Caenorhabditis elegans: one gene and its partners. The protein of the gene in region 3 binds, or shares a complex with, the protein of the main gene of each other region. Each region holds a gene or a part of one and is shown on either strand. Other genes may lie near its edges. The genes, in order: C46H11.3, arx-6, arx-5 and arx-1.

Region 1 (3,491 bases), on a different chromosome or scaffold from region 3:
ATCTTTGCAACGACACCACCTACTACACAGTCATGACTCAACAATGTCCAAGAACATGCGGTCGTTGTAACTCAACTACCACAAGCTCCACTAGCTGTGCCGATCTTGTAAACCCATCCACCGGAGTTTCTGATTGTACTGCACGAGCTTCTTTGTGCAATGATTCAGTCTACTATGCCGTCATGACTCAACAATGCCCAAGAACTTGTGGAAGATGTAACTCAAGCTCTACCGTAACTTCATCTTCCTCCACAACAGCTTCAAGTAAGATTAATAATTGTTCATAACGTTCCATGTCTGAACTTTTCAGCCACCTGTGTTGACCAAGTCAACGCAGCTACAGGAGTCTCCGATTGTCCAAACCGTCGTGCATTCTGTACCAATTCTGCCTACGCAACCCTTATGAGAGCTCAATGCCCACTCACTTGCGGATTCTGCACTTCTGGATAATCTTCATTTTTTCTTGAATCATTTTATTTATTTCCTAATATATTTGGTTGTTGTAAATTTGAACTTCTTCATATAAAAAACTTTGGATCTTGGAGTTTTATTGCAGAAATTAACAGATACATGTACCTTCATTAAAAAATTAGAGACGTTGTCGATTGGACAACACTCGAACAATGGATCCCTGCCCAAATTTTGATACCAATTGAGAATGCCACAATAGTAGAGAAAGACACGTGGCAGAATCAGAGCATAGTTGCATTGCTTTGTAAATATACTTCATCAGAATGTCTCCATTTTCATTTGACAGCTTGTGAACTGATTCTTCAATATCGGTCTGTCGAAATGCATGAATAACCTCGGCCACAAGGAGAACAGCACGGTTCTTGAGTTCCTAAAAGGGAAAGAGGTTTGCAAAATGACATTAAAAAATAAAACCTGTTCAGAATGACCAAATGGTGGGTTTAAGAGAACGGATTGAAGAGCATATTCAAGTCGATTTGACTCCAGAAATTGCCGAACCTCTTGCACATTTGGCCCACAATCTGCAGATTCTGAAAAAATTTTCAAAAATTATTTATTGAAATATTATTATTTATTCAAAAATTAATTATTGAATTCAGATTGACTAACCTTCCTGAATATCTTCAAAATGAGCTGGATGAAAAATATCAACATTGTACTTTTTATAGTCAGTGTTGTACATTATCTACAATAGAAAAACATTTCTGAATGAAAACCTAAAAAATGATATAAGAAAGCTTTTTTGAAGTCTCTTTGAAATTTTGAATAAGAGCACCAATTGTCCACTCTTTTGTGAAATTCGAAAACGTTTGTTCTGCTGCATACCAAATTTCATAGATTCTTGTTTCTGAACAATTTTCTTTTAATCCCCAAATAATTGCCATAAGTTTTTTGTTTTGCCTAGTACTTTTCACTAGGCAATCGGCCGATATGCACTGGGAACAATTGCACCTGCTCTAGCTTTTAAAGCAAAGACTTCAATAGATTGTTGTTTGGATCTAAATTGCAACTGGACATTTCAAAAATTTCTCTTCATTTGAGAATAAAAATATACAAATTGTACCCAATCAATTAATCCATTACTCGGATCGTACACAATGGAACAAAAAAAACAACTGAAAGTAAGAAGAAAGTCTAGGGATTATGCCATGGTAAAGGAAAAGAGAAGGGGAAAGCGATAGATTAAAAAGTGAAAATCTATTTTCTTTTTCAAAAAATCTATTTTCTTTTTCAAAAAACCAACAAAAACAAGGACTGGCTGGAGGGGGTGTAAAATTGAATAATAGCAAATTGTACACGGATGAGGATTTTGTGGAGGAGCGGTGGGGAATCACAGAAATTATTATGGCGGAATATGAAGAGACACACACTTTCATCTATCTACAGTAATCCAAGGAGGTAGAAGCTTCTACGATTTCGTATTTTTCATTCTGGCAATCACTTCCTCTGTGACCATTAACTGGTCATCAGGATGTTCTCCGTACTCGGGGAGTTCTTCGAGAATCTGAAAATATTTGAATTATAATTCAACTACTTGGTAACATTTAAAATTTATGAGAAGAAAAATAAATATAGTGTCAAGAATTTGAAAATATATAAATTGATTTTCCGCACCTCTTATCTATATTAGTTACCGAATATTCTCTAATAGTATTAAATCCCACTACTTTATTTTTGCTTTAAAAAATTTTAAAACAATATGAAACACTTTCCAATATTTTTTCCAATTTATTCAAAAATGTTACGGTTTTTATGTCCCCATATCAGTTCTGTGAATTTATTGATCTCAACATCCCCCGGTTATAACTACACTTTTACCTCCATTCTCGTTTTTCTCCCCGTTTCACCTGTTCCCTATTATCTTTTCTTTCTTTTTTTATGTAACTTTTACTCGAGTTGAACTCTTTTAGGGTTCGTCTCGTTTTATTTGTTTATTTCTCTTCTTTTAGTTAAATAAACTCAAATTCAAAAGAAAAATAAATATAGTGTCAAGAATTTGAAAATATATAAATTGATTTTCCGCACCTCTTATCTATATTAGTTACCGAATATTCTCTAATAGTATTAAATCCCACTACTTTATTTTTGCTTTAAAAAATTTTAAAACAATATGAAACACTTTCCAATATTTTTCCGTTAACAATTTTTGTATAGGACAAAAGGCAACTGAGTTTAATAGTAAGGTGCTACATTAATAATATTTAAATAAAAAATTCTAAGAAAACCAAGCTTACCTTGACTAAATTATCGATTCCTATCAAATACCCATCTTCATTATTCCCAGGTATCCACGTCGTCCGATGGTTTAGTGTTCGTCCATTAGGAACCGGTGAACTCTTTGCAAAGTCAATCATCCAGCATCCCACTTTTTCCGTATCAAAAACAATCAGAATACTGCTTCCGACGACTTCATGTGAATTGAAGAATGATGAATGTTCGATGGCTTTTCGCATTGATTTCAGTCGTTCAATTAATTGTTGTCTTACACGGCTTCTTTGAGTTCCAAAGAAGTCCATAAATGTAGTTGTGACATCTTCAACTGTTCGTACTTTTTTGAAGTTTTTCTCCAATGCGCCTTCGAGCCTCTGGAAATAAATGCGATGTTGAAGAGTTTAGGGTTTGAAGAAAACTTGTTATGTTAACATTTAGAATTCTAAATATACCCATGAATTGGATGGAAAAACATATGTTTTATAAAGATTAAAGCTTTGAGCACTGCGGAAGTCAGGTACACAGCTGGAGCTCTAATTTGAGCCAAGTAAGGACCAAAAACTTCAACAATAGAGTAGCCGGTCTCGACACGATCACATATTTAAATATGAACGAGTGTGCGCCTTTAAAAAAACTGTAGTCTTCAAACCTCTCTATTTTGCAATTTTTTAAAGTGAACCGTGGAAACTGCTGTACTTTTTAAAGGCGCATACATTTTAATTTTTATATATACGGCCGGTTCGAGACCCATTCACATACCTTGGCTGCCTCAATTCGAAATCCGAGCTGTGCAGTGCTGCTCTCTCGTT
Region 2 (3,744 bases), 7.9 Mb from region 3:
AGAAATTTCAGACTTACTATAGTCGATTTACCAATTCATAGATGGAGGTCTCAAAATGCGCATAACTGGGAAGTATATTTTGAGTTCAACATATTTTTACAAAAATGGACATATTTCAAAAATATCATTGCAGTAAGAAATTCGTAAAGTAAATTTGTTTATGGAATTTTCTACCTCAAAAACTGCCTAATTCTGATATTTTTTTTAATTCTTCCATATCTAAATATTTTAATTCATACAGCTCAAAAATTTCGGCTTCTCCGTAGCCTATTCCCAAGTGTTTTATGCACCTCCGTATCACACCACCATGTTGTAAGTCGCTACTCAGTCGATTTACCAATTGAGAGGTTGAATGCTTAAAATGCACATATTTCAGAACAGTCTTTTCCCTAGGAAATTTCAAATTTTATCTGATGTTCAGATCGTAGCACATGCTCTTTTGATCGGTTATTATTCATTCGGGGATTGACTGAGGATCTTTAGATTCTTTCTCACTTTCAGGTAGACTTCCTCGCGGCTTCGGCTCCGGTAGTAGTAGTTTACATATCAGGATTTTCAACACTTTTGTATTCCGACACTATTCCACTGGAAAATTCACTTATTGTGCATTTTTGGCAAAATTCTACAAGTTTCAAGGGAGACGCGCTTATACAAAAGGGTCTCGCCGCGGGAATCGTATTTATTAAAGATACTTGGTTTAAATGTCTTCTTACGTTAACAGAAGATTATTTTTAATATGTTTTTCTCGCGGCGAGACCCCTACACACATATGCTCTGTCCTTTGAACTTAAATGTTACTCTTTTCGTTTCAATACCAAATGCGCAATAAATCCCGCATTGAAGCATAGCGTTCTCCCATTACTTCTGCTCCCATTTCAGTTATTTTTTATGCCAATCTTGAAATTATTGCGTGCTCAAACGAAAATCAAACAAGCACTTACTTTGAACGATTTACTTATCGAAGGAATACCACAGAAAATCGTAGGATAAGATTATGAAAATTTGCACTGAAGTTCATGGGTGTGGGAAAACGAGGGAAATTATAACACTTAAAGAAGAAAAGGGCTGCTCAAAAATTGTGAGAAAAATACATAAATTTTGGAAAATGAATTTTGCAATTTATGGAAAAATTAAACGGATTGAAGAATGCTTCTGGTGATTTCTTGAATGTAGATATCCGAGCTGGTGAGCTTCTTCTCATCAGTAGAGGACGGCTTCAAAACAGCTTTCTTGGTCGGTGCATTCTCCTTGTCCTCCTCTTCGAAAACTTTCTCCGGTGAATTGACAATTGGATTTTTTGCGAGATAGTTCTGAAACATAACCAGGTTCTCATAAAATCTCAAAGTTTCATTTTTTAAGGAAAACATTAAGAGTTGTGTTAATATCAGTGCTTTGATTAAAAGTTCGAATAGTCTAAATAATTACCTCCACAAATTCCTTTTTCGAATTCAAGTTCCGGTCGTGAACGACAAAGAAGACATCAGAATCGTTTTTGACAGTCTCTGGCTCAGTGGCTTGAATAGTGTACCCCTTTTCTGGAAGACAACTATGTTATTATGATTCAAAAATGCTTGAAAACATTTACCGAGAACTCCGAAGCGCTCATTCAATGTGATTCGTTTATTTGTCGCAGTTTTGTACTTGTTTTCCAGAATCGACGCCACTTTGTTGCTGTGCTCACGGTCAGCTAAAGGAATAACTTGATATTGGATGGCAGTAGTCATTCTGAAAGGTTTAAATTTTTAAATTTTACTGAAAACGCAAAATATTTTGCAAAATGGGAAAGTGGAATGATTGAAAATCAGAAAATTAATTTTAAAATTGACAATTTTTAAAAGAATGGATGATAAATTTGTCTTCGCGCGCTACTCGAAACAAAAAGTGCAGCGGAGCGTGTTTGCATTACTTTCAAAACGACGCAAATAATGATTCATTTTCGGATTATCGACTCCAATTTTACGATTTTCGCCGGTATTTCATGTTTTATTTTGTTCCATGCAATCTTTTTTCACTTCTAAATAATGTCTCAAACTGTTTCGTCAATAAAAAAATCAATAAGCATGCGCATTGCAGGTAATGAGCGCAACACTCCAACCATATCTGGAGGCCGTGCGTCACACGCTCCAGGCAGCTCTCTGTCTTGAGCAATTCAGTTCGCAGGTGGTCGAGAGACACAACAAACCAGAAGTAAGATTTATAACAGTAAAATGACTTGCAAAGTGTGAAGATTGAATAATTTAAATCAGTCCGCCGCCAATTGCAATAGTTTTTCGCTCAAAAACTATTTAAATGTATTATTCTATTTGTATATTATAATAAAATTGTAGGTGGAAGTTCAAACATCGAAAGAACTGCTCATGACGCCAGTTGTTGTTGCTCGAAACAAACAGGAACGAGTACTCATCGAACCCTCCGTCAATTCTGTCAGAATATCAATCGCCATCAAACAATCCGACGAAATCGAGAAGATTCTGTGCCACAAGTTCACTCGATTCATGTGCCAAAGAGCCGATAACTTCTTTGTGCTCCGTCGCAAGCCACTGCCAGGTCAGAATTAATACTAATATTCAGAGATTAAAGCGATAATTTTAGGTTATGACATCTCGTTCCTCATCACAGCATCTCACACAGAAGCAATGTTCAAGCACAAACTTGTCGACTTTTTGCTTCATTTTATGCAGGAAATTGATAAGGTGAACATTTTAAGTTAATTTTTAAAAAATTCCATAAATTTCCAGGAAATTTCCGAGATGAAGCTGTCTCTCAACGCCCGTGCCCGTGTTTCTGCTGAAGAATTTTTGAAGCGTTTCAATTAATTTTCTCCCCATGATTCCCAATTCATTTTTCTCATTTTCACTCAAATTCCGAAGACTTTAAACTATTATGTGAACACGGTTTTTTGATCAATTTGTGTAAATATCATCTTTATTCTCAATTTTTTCACTTTTTGTTTCTGAAAATGACTCCCCTCCCAAAAATTTCCTGTTTTAGGTCCTATTTTGCCTTTTTGATTATCGATTTTTTTTACCGCACACTGACTTTATGAATTATTTATTCAATTTTTGCAATATGTATGATCTGAAATATCTCGTGAAACATTTACGAGCTTTAATATTTTAAAATGATTATTAAGTTGGAAATTGACAAATCAATTTCAGAAATGAAGTCTATTCTACTTTTATTCTCCCTGATAGTGCTCGGCAGTGCAACAGAAGAAGTGAGCAGAACTGAGCAAACATCGACATTATTCTCCGTCGAAGGCGAGGTTCGTATACCAAAAATGTTTGATTTTTGGATTAAAAATATCGATCATTTTGGCTATATTCATAGAGAAGTCATATTATAAATTAAGACAACGTTTATATGCTTCTGAATACTTTTTCCAGTTCTCACATTTTTTAAAATTTTATCTTCTAGGTTCCTATTCTAATAACAACAAATTCGTTGTAAATTAAATATTTCATAGTCCTCAAAAAAAAAATTTCAGATCGCACTTCCATCTACTCGAAATTGTGCAAAATGGTCCGCAGGTGCTCGTATTCATTTGAACCATGGCCAATATATGGGATTTGTTCGTCAAGATTGTACATTCCGTGTTGATTTCGTGCCTACTGGAACCTATATTGTTCAAATCGAAAATACAGATTTTGTCTTTGAGCCAATTCGCGTTGATATCACATCAAAAGGAAAGATGAGAGCTAGAAAATTGACAATTCTTCAGGTATATTGAATTTCGGAACAAAT
Region 3 (4,215 bases):
AAGCAGTTGTTCGGGAGACGGGGCATGGCACCACAGACATGTCAGGTGCTCCGTGACCCTTTGACCTCGTGAAAAAGATAAATATTTTCGCGTTTTCGTGGAGATCAAACCAATTGTTAGGTGCTTTAGAGTTTGATCGTCTTGTATTATTACAGGAACCCAAAATTCCGAAAATGCGCACTGCACAACATATTTGACGCGCAAAATATTTTTTACTGTATCTAGATATTTTGCGCGTCAAATATGTTGCGTGGTACGCATTTTCAGAATTTAGTCGTTCCGTAATAAAAGTGGAATTGCAAAAAAGTTCCAAAAAATAAAAAAATGAAATTTTTTATCATATTTCAGCTTAAAATCCGCCAGGGCCATTATCATTGGAGCGCGCCATGTCGCGTCGATTTACGAGAGATTTTGTTTGCAAATTTCAGTTTTTCAACAAGTTTTCTATATTTTTCGCGTTTTTTTAAGTGAAAATGTGAAATAATTTTATGATTTTTAAAATTTGAAAAAAAAAATTTTTCAACAAAAAAATCAAAGAAACTTGCAAATTTTAGTTTCTTTGATTTTTTTTTTTTGAAATATAATTTATTTCGTGTAAAGTGAACGAAACTTACTGATTTTTCAATTTTTAAAATAATAAAATACCCAAATTTACACGAAAAAACACATTTTAATTTAAAAAAACCGAAGAAAATGAAGAAAACTGGTTTAAAAAACCGAATTTGGCTGCAAAAAAACCCCTCGTAAATCGACATGGCATGGCGCGCTCCAATGAGAATTTTTCTGGCGCGAGTTTGAAAATTGTTTCGCGCTTTCAAGCTGAAATATAAGATTTTTGAAATTTTTTGAATTTTTTTAAAACAAAATATGGGAAATTTGGAGTAATTTGAAAATTTAAAAAATCAAAAAAATGATTTTTTTATTAAAAAAAAAAGTTTTTTTCAGGATTTCCAATGGCGTGCCGGCTGGGGTGTTCTCAAGGCCAATATGCTTTTCGTGTACAATAAAACCGAAGAGGAGACGTCGGCTCCTCCATTTTTACTACTAATTATTGAAGACTGTTTTATCGAATTATGTGATGAGAATAAGATTGGCAAGGATTTCACTTTTGAAATCAAATTCAAATCGTGCGTTTTTTCCGGGTCTCAACACGAAAAATTAATACTAAATTCCAAAAAAAAACTGAATTTTTATCGGTTTTATCGAAAATCGATGAAAAATCGATTGAAAATTCCTAAAATTATCCGATTTTTTTCCAGAACTGCTCGAAGCTTCATCTTCGCCGCCGACTCGTTCAAATCGCTGGGACGTTGGGTTTCGCTGCTCACAATCTCCCCGATCGACTATATACAGCTCTCGAAACAAAGTTTTCATGAGCAAATCGAGCAAACTCAGAAGAAAGCGATGAGGGATTGATTTTTATACATTTTGCACATTTTCACTGTGATATTTTGACTTATTGATTATAAATCATACATTTTTAACGTTTTTTGCTTTGTTTTGCAGCTGGAATTTCCCTGAATTTATCGTTTTTTTCGCAAAAAATCGCGAAATTTCATTAAAAATTTCCAAACGATGCTCCGATATTCCGATGTCGCGCCTTGTTTACCGTAAACTTACACGAGATTATTATTTATTTTTCCGTTCCTGGAGAGAATTTCATCAGAAAAAACGTTTAAAAAGCAGAAAATCTTTGATTTTTTCCAATTTTTCTTAAATATCTGATTATAGGAAACTTGTAAGCTGATATTAATCATATTAATTCCAAGTTTTCATATATTTTAACACGAATTTCCGAATAAAAGTGTATTTTCGGGTTTTACTTTAATTTTCGCGTCCGCAACGACATTATCGCTTCAAAAACTGCATTTTTATCGAATAAAATACTTATATTTTAATTTAAAACTCGAATTTCACAATTTATCGATTTTTTTTCGCAGCCGCAGTGACTCATTATGTACTTACCCCCCCCCCCCCTCGGGTATCCGAAAATAAGCCGTTTTCTATGCATTTTTCCAAACAAAACACTTATTTTTCAGTGAAATGCCGGCATACCACTCAAAATTCGACACTGAACTCAAAGTTTTGCCATTGGGCAACACAAATATGGGAAAACTTCCGATTCGAACCAATTTCAAGGGTCCAGCGCCTCGTAAGTCTTCAAAAATTGATTGAAAAAACCTATATTATATATTAAAATTATTGCAGAAACCAATCAGGATGACATCATCGACGAAGCGCTCACCTACTTCAAGCCGAACATCTTTTTCCGCGAATTTGAGGTTGATTTTCGAGATTTTTCCCTATTAAAATTGAGAAATTTTCAGATCAAAGGTCCCGCGGACCGTACAATGATCTATCTCATCTTCTACATCACCGAGTGCCTCAGAAAATTGCAAAAAGTACGGATTTTGCACGAAAAAAACCTACTTTTTAGATTGAAAAATAAGAAAAAAAGACCCAAACATACCGAATTTCAATGGATATTTTGAACATTCCTACCGAAAACAGATTTTTTTAAGTAGAAAATTTCAAATTCGAAACATTTTCGATTTTCTCTGAAAAAATCCCAAATTCTTTCAATTTTCTCTGAAAAATCCACAAATTTTAAGGTTTTCTCTGAAAAAATCGAATTTTTTTGGTTTTTCCCTGAAAAAAATCTAAAAATTGTTTAATATTCCCTGAAAATTCCAAAATTTTTCTGGTTTTCCCTGAAAAAATCCGAAAATTTTTCGATTTTCACTGAAAAAATCCGAAATTTTTCCGATTTTCTTCGGAGAAATCCAACTTTTTTTTTTCTCAAAATTTTGGAAATTATAAAAAAAAATTCTAGTTACAAAATTCGGTCTTTTCGGGCTATTTTGAGTGAAATAAAGCGTAAAAACATGTTTTTTTTTTGCAAATTTTTTCAAATTTTCAGAGCCCAAACAAGATAGCCGGCCAAAAGGATCTTCACGCCTTGGCTCTCAGTCATTTGCTTCCAATTCCCGGTGAAAATGGATTCCCACTGAACAGCATGTACAAGGCGCCCCAATCGAAACCGGACGAGGACGAAATGCGTGCCTATTTGCAACAAATTCGCCAAGAAATCGGCGCCCGTCTGTGTGATCTCGCGTTCCCGGATCCCCAAGATCGTCCGAGCAAGTGGTGGCTCTGTTTCGCGAGAAGACGATTCATGGACAAGGGGCTCGTTGGACAGGGTGTTAATTTGTGAATTATCGATTAATTATTGTTGTATCTGGCTCAAAATTTTTTCACTTTTCCCATTTTTTTTTCCATGTAATTATATTTATATTGCGTCCAGTTTTACTTTTTGTGCTGCTTTAAAATATTCATTAAAATTCCGATTTCATCATTTTATTACGGTAACGCAACATATTTTGCGCGCGTCAAATATGTTGTGCGCGAAATACGCGAAATCTCTATGCTCTACCGATAATTTGTCTGCTTGGATCCCATCACTGACAACAAAAACGCCACGGTATCGTGTACGACTTCTGGAGCAGTTATCTGGCAACGTGCCAAGTGACTTCGAACCTCTTCGGGAAGTTGGGAGACTGGAAGAGCCTGGAAATTGAGAAAAATTGAAAATTTTAAGATTTTCTCCGAGAAAATTGGAAAATAGTCGAATTTTTTTCAGAAAACCCCAAATATAGGCCTTTTTTATTAGAAAATCGAAAAATTTTCAGGTTTTTTCAAATAAAATCGGGAAAAAAACTATTAATTTCCCGTAATTTTCCAAGATTTCCGTCTTAAAGGCGCACAGATTTGTTCAGATGGGTCTCGGCGCGCAAAAAAGTTTATGGTACTTTTTTTTCTTTTTTCCTGTTAAAAATTGTTTTAAATCAGTTTTTTTGCCGTTTTCCAGTCAGAGAATGAATAAAAATTGATTTAAACAGTTTTTAACAAAAAAATAAAAAAGAAAAACCACCATAAACTTTTTGCGCGCCGAGACCCAGTTGAATTTACCTGTGCGCCTTTAAGAAGGAATTTTAAAATATTGCGAAATTATTTTATTTGAATAATTGCTGATTTTTTATTCAGAAGAGAAGGAAATTTCAATTTTTTTTGTTGGAAAAATAAATAAAATTTTTTTTTTTTGATTTTTCAACACTTACAGCCATTCTTTCCAAATCCTGAGGGCTAAATGAGCCCATCGCTTTGCTCAATGAAGCATCCGGGTCTGTTGCAGAAAGAGCAGTGGTGAGAGAAGCT
Region 4 (5,081 bases), on a different chromosome or scaffold from region 3:
GTGCTCTCGTCAATTTGTGCCTCTTTACCGTGGACGTCCACTCTGTAAATGCCCGTATTGTGGAGCATCGTACTCTGAAGGGCTCGAGGGAGAAGTGTGCAACGTGTGCCAGGTTGCAGAAGTTGGAAAGAATGTTCTTGGGCTCCGAATCTCAACTCTGAAGAGCTAAAAGTTGTGAAATATGATAATTTTTTCGTTTTTTGTGTGATATTAATTATTGTAATTTATTTGCCTTGTTCTTCCACAATTCCCATTGCTTTTGGTCCCTTCATATTATTTTCCCGTTGGGCGGCGGTTCATGTTTTCTATTTAAATTATGTGTTTTTAAAAATTATTTAAACCCCACAGAAAGATTATGATTGCATGCTGGTCTATTTTATTTGAATAAATCATGATTTTTTTACTTTTTTTCATTTATCTTTGGGGTAAGAAAATGTTCTCTAAATCAGTAATTTACATGGAGAAATTTGCTCGAAAAAATTCAAAAAAAATACAGTAAGAAAATTGTCGTAAAGTCTAGGGTTTTGGTATTGCGGACTACGACAAAATGCACACAAACCATTTTGGCACCGGAAAAAGGCAAAAGCCAGGATTTTATCGCGTTTTGGCTCATTTTTCTTGCAAATTTCCATGGAATTCAGTTAACATATACCTAATTATTCAGTTATTTCGAATTAATCAATAATTTTCAGTGAATTTCGCAATTTCTAAGTGGTCCAATGATGTCTGTCCACATATTTCCTTGAAAACTGATTGTTTTATCGGAATTTATTGATTTAAAATAATATATATAATAAAATCTGAATTTTAGAATCATTTTTGACGTGGAAAAGACCCGAAAAATCCAAAAATCACGAATAAACTGAACAATTAAGGTATTAATTTTTGATCCCCCACCCCCAGTTTCTCAGTTTCTCAGCAAAGGATTAAAACAATTGTTCTTCTTCTTTTCCCCCTACAAGAATTTCCTGTGAATTTCAATCGTAAAAATATCGATTTTCTGTTTATTCTTTGGATGAGTCACCGCACTCGCCGATTGTTTAACTAGTGCAGTTCGGCAGTTTTACGTTATTTTTTCACGATTTTTTGGATTCTGATCCTCTAGGTGACTTGAAAATACCGAATTTCATATCGTAATATGACAGAAAAATTTATGGCGGTAAAAAAATGCGGAAAAATTTTCTAATTTTAACGGAAAACTCCAAAAAGCCGTTGGAAAATGATTTTTATTTGATATTGGCATATTTAAATAATTTTTATCCTGTTTTTTAGTGGATTTGGATATTTTAACCCGATAGTTATGTATAACGGCTTAAAAATTGCCAAAATCAGCGAAAAAACGCGAGAAAAATCACTTAAATATGGAAAATAGAACAATAATCAAATAAACCCGATTATCCAAGCCAAAACTGAGTTTTTTTTTTCGCATTTTTGAACTTCAAAATTTCGAAAAAATGGGCTATTTTTAACGAAAATCCCCAATTTTGCAATTTTTTCGTGTCACAGCCGTCGGAAATTGATTTTTATTTGATTTTTGACACATTTGAGTGATTTTATCCTTTTTTTTTCGTGGATTTAGGTACTTTTAGCCGATAGTTACGTATTGCTAAAATACTGGCTTAATAAGTAGCTAAATCGACGAAAAAATATGTTTTAAAAAACCAAAAATGGCAAAATTTTACGATTTTTGCTAAATCTTTTTTTTTTTTGAAATTTTAAATCGTCATAAAATTATTTAGCTAAATTTTTGTTAAACATTTCAGCGAAAAACTCCATTTTTGCCAATTTTTTGTGTCACAGCGGTTGAAAATTGCGTTAATTTAGGTATATTTGAAGCCAAAAAAGGAACAAAATTAATTTATTTGCAAAATTATCAATTTCCGGCTTAAAAACGCTCCAAGATTGGAGATTTCAGCGGAAATTAGCCCATTTTTTCGAATTTCTAAACCGCTAGACTGAAATTCCGTCTTTTTCTCCCATTTAAAACAAAAAAAATCCCAAATTTTTTGCAGCAAGCATGTCGGCCCATCAACTACCGGCATGTGTGATCGACAATGGAACGGGTTATACGAAGCTCGGATATGCTGGGAACACGGAACCTCAGTTTATTATTCCATCTGGTTAGATTTATTGATTTTCAGCCTATTTTTCATAAAATCCAGTGAATTTTCCAGCAATTGCCGTGAAGGACAAGGTGGCGAGCTCGAATTCGCAGGCGATGCGCTGGAATAACCGAGTCGGAGCCGGGATAGACGATCTTGATTTCTTTATTGGAGATGAAGCTTTGTCGCCGGCCGCTACGAATTATACTGTCAAAGTTCGTAGTTAATAGACCATATTTATGCTCCTGATGTCAAATATCAATGTGAAATTTTTTTTTTTAATTCCCAGATTTTATATAATTTTTTAAAATCCAAAAATCCTAATTTTAAATTTAAACGACAAAATTTTGCATGATAACCGTGCCGCAGGTGTGGATTTACGAGATTAATATTTTTAATTCATTTTTATTTAATTTTCACACCGATTTTCCCGTTTTTTCGTTGTTATACATTGAAATTCTTGGGATTTTCATAAATTTATTCATAAATTTACTTTTTATTAATGAAAACAAATTAAATTACAAGAAATATCGAACTTTTGCTGAAAAAATCGAATATTTCACGTATTTTTGTTGTTTTCATTAATAAAAAGTCATAAATTAATGGAAATCATGATAATTTTAATGTAAAACAAGGAAAAATCGGGAAAATCGGTGTGAAAATTAAATAAAAATGAATGAAAAATATTAGTCTCGTAAATCCACACATGCGGCACGGTTATCATGCAAAATTTGTCGTTTCTGAATTTAACATTTTGGACTTTTGGATTAAAAAAAATATAATTTTTTATAAAATCGGGAATTTTATTTTTTGAATTTTTCACATTGATATTAGGTATCAGGAGCATATGGAAAAAATGTTTAAAATTAAAATTAAATTTTTTAGTATCCAATTCGGCATGGAATCGTCGAAGACTGGGATCTTATGGAACGATACTGGGAGCAGTGCATTTTCAAATACTTGAGAGCCGAGCCAGAGGATCATTTCTTCCTTTTGGTACGGGAGAGAAGCAGAAAATTCGGGAAAAAATGCTCTGGAACAATATTTTGGCCACTTTTAAAAGAAAAGGGGGTCGAAAATCCGTTTTTTTAATAGAAAATATCCTGTAAAATGGATGTAAATCGGTGAAAAGCTATATATTACAGAAAAAACACGTGAAAAGTGATAAATTTCGATGAAAAAAGCTTAAAAATCACGAAATTTTGCAATTTTTGACTCTAAAATTACGGTATCCGGTCTTGACAGGACAATTTTTTTGGAAATAAAGCATGTGATACCAATTTAAAAAATACGTAAAAATTTTGAAAAAAACGGGAGAAAAATCAAGGAATTTCCCCCGAAAACTCCGGTATTTTTAAGCTTTATTAATTAAAATTAATTAAATGAAAAATCTACATTTTTTCAAAAAAATAGCAAAAAAAATTTTTTTTCGTATTAAAATCCTAATTTTATAGGAAAAGCTGTTTTTTTGAAGATATGGCTTTAATTTTCTATTTAAAAAATCGTTTTTTTTTTCTGGAAATTTACAAAATTTTGTTTCTAATTTTTTTTAAAGTAAGGGTCCCGCCACGATCTACCTGAGCTTCAACTTTCAGGCTTAAAGTTGGTGTAGTCGAATTTTTTTTTTGCTTTATTAGAATCAAAATTGTCTAAAAACACCGAATTTCATAATGAAACTTCTTGAAAAAAAACAGTTATGACGGTTCAAAAAATCGGCTAAAATTAGTTAAAATTTGAAATTTGGCCTTTTGAAATTACCGTCAAATTTTAGATATATAAGTTTATTATCGTGCGTTTTCAACTCGATTTAGGTATTTTAAAGTCGGTGGACTTGGAGATTTGGTAATAAAAATTTAAAAATCTCCAAGTCCACCGGCTTTAAAATACCTAAATCGAGTTGAAAACGCACAATAATCAACTTATATATCTAAAATTTGACGGTAATTTCAAAAGGCCAAATTTCAAATTTTAACTGTTTTAGGCCATTTTTTTGGAGCCGCCATAACTTTTTTTTTGAGAAGTTTTCAATTCATTATGAAATTCGGTGTTTTCAGACAATTTTTGAGTCTAATAAAGCAATTTTTTTTTTAAAAATCGACTACACCACCTTTAAATAGCGAATATTAGGCAGTTTTCCACGAAAAAATTTGAAAATTTCCAGACGGAACCACCACTCAACACTCCGGAAAACCGAGAATATACTGCTGAAATTATGTTCGAGTCGTTCAACGTGCCAGGCTTGTACATAGCCGTTCAGGCCGTCCTAGCGTTGACTGCCAGCTGGAATTCCAGAGAAGCCAACGAGCGAAGCTTGACTGGATTGGTAGGAAATTTTTTCGCTTTTGAGAAAAAAAAATTTTTATTATTTTATTTGTCACTTATTAAATAGCCAAAAATGCAAATTAATACCAGCAAAAACATGAAAAATATAATGAAAAACGACAATTTACACATTCCCGACAATGATGGATACTTGTTCCCGTCTACTTCGGCTTCTCCTGCAACTGCAAAAAAATCGAATTGCTCCTCACCATCAAGCGCTCCGAATCCCAAAATATCCTCATCGAAACTCGAAACCTCGCGGAGCAACACAGGCAGCTCTTGCAGCCAGAAACTTCCAGTTTTCCGTGGATCTTGCTCCAAATGCGTCAGAAATAGATGCCAAATTTGGCGGAATCTCTCCTTTTCGGCTTGTCGGCGGTTCGCATTTTCTAGCTGCTCATGATCTTCGGCTTCAGCGTGGAAAGCGGTTCTGAGTGCTTCTTCGTCGATTTTCGGGATGTACGCAGAAATTGCCATGTCGAGTAGAGAGTGTGGGAGACTGAGAGGGACAGGGAGAGATGACGTGGATTCTGGTGTACCGACGACGATCGATAATGTTTTCGAGGTACCTGTGTACCATCTGCCGTCTCTGCTAGCAATTGCATAACACGCAAGAAAAACGCCAAAAATAATGTATAACGTATTTATTATATGAAT

Evidence for each region.
Region 1: arx-5 (region 3) and C46H11.3 share a complex: the UniProt entries of both Caenorhabditis elegans proteins name them as parts of the arp2/3 complex.
Region 2: arx-5 (region 3) and arx-6 share a complex: the UniProt entries of both Caenorhabditis elegans proteins name them as parts of the arp2/3 complex.
Region 4: arx-5 (region 3) and arx-1 share a complex: the UniProt entries of both Caenorhabditis elegans proteins name them as parts of the arp2/3 complex.

What each region holds. Positions count from the first base shown.
Region 1 is NC_003279.8:5,039,154-5,042,644, reverse strand, and holds C46H11.3 (putative actin-related protein 2/3 complex subunit 5), read right to left. Parts: upstream 1,276-3,491; 5' UTR 1,154-1,275; coding exon 1,081-1,153; intron 1,002-1,080; coding exon 886-1,001; intron 842-885; coding exon 590-841; 3' UTR 553-589; downstream 1-552. Other genes in the region: C46H11.7 (ShKT domain-containing protein), read left to right, coding at 1-264, 311-450; lfe-2 (Inositol-trisphosphate 3-kinase homolog), read right to left, coding at 1,880-1,975, 2,706-3,056, 3,442-3,491. UniProt on the Caenorhabditis elegans protein: Functions as a component of the Arp2/3 complex which is involved in regulation of actin polymerization and together with an activating nucleation-promoting factor (NPF) mediates the formation of branched actin networks.
Region 2 is NC_003281.10:4,876,587-4,880,330, forward strand, and holds arx-6 (putative actin-related protein 2/3 complex subunit 4), read left to right. Parts: upstream 1-2,071; 5' UTR 2,072-2,076; coding exon 2,077-2,187; intron 2,188-2,327; coding exon 2,328-2,547; intron 2,548-2,592; coding exon 2,593-2,693; intron 2,694-2,738; coding exon 2,739-2,816; 3' UTR 2,817-3,057; downstream 3,058-3,744. Other genes in the region: Protein tost-1, read right to left, coding at 1,131-1,310, 1,426-1,535, 1,586-1,724; C35D10.1 (ER membrane protein complex subunit 7 homolog), read left to right, coding at 3,161-3,265, 3,488-3,721. UniProt on the Caenorhabditis elegans protein: Functions as actin-binding component of the Arp2/3 complex which is involved in regulation of actin polymerization and together with an activating nucleation-promoting factor (NPF) mediates the formation of branched actin networks.
Region 3 is NC_003281.10:12,815,925-12,820,139, reverse strand, and holds arx-5 (putative actin-related protein 2/3 complex subunit 3), read left to right. Parts: upstream 1-2,039; 5' UTR 2,040-2,043; coding exon 2,044-2,152; intron 2,153-2,208; coding exon 2,209-2,282; intron 2,283-2,327; coding exon 2,328-2,402; intron 2,403-2,920; coding exon 2,921-3,214; 3' UTR 3,215-3,351; downstream 3,352-4,215. Other genes in the region: Y37D8A.25 (PH domain-containing protein), read left to right, coding at 946-1,127, 1,260-1,416; BE10.4 (DUF148 domain-containing protein), read right to left, coding at 3,430-3,567, 4,119-4,215. UniProt on the Caenorhabditis elegans protein: Functions as a component of the Arp2/3 complex which is involved in regulation of actin polymerization and together with an activating nucleation-promoting factor (NPF) mediates the formation of branched actin networks.
Region 4 is NC_003279.8:2,890,650-2,895,730, reverse strand, and holds the start of arx-1 (Actin-related protein 3), read left to right. Parts: upstream 1-2,012; 5' UTR 2,013-2,017; coding exon 2,018-2,120; intron 2,121-2,174; coding exon 2,175-2,317; intron 2,318-2,987; coding exon 2,988-3,098; intron 3,099-4,263; coding exon 4,264-4,425; intron 4,426-4,469; coding exon of another isoform or gene 4,470-5,081. Other genes in the region: copa-1 (Coatomer subunit alpha), read left to right, coding at 1-169; Y71F9AL.6 (Protein PBN1), read right to left, coding at 4,470-5,081. UniProt on the Caenorhabditis elegans protein: Functions as ATP-binding component of the Arp2/3 complex which is involved in regulation of actin polymerization and together with an activating nucleation-promoting factor (NPF) mediates the formation of branched actin networks.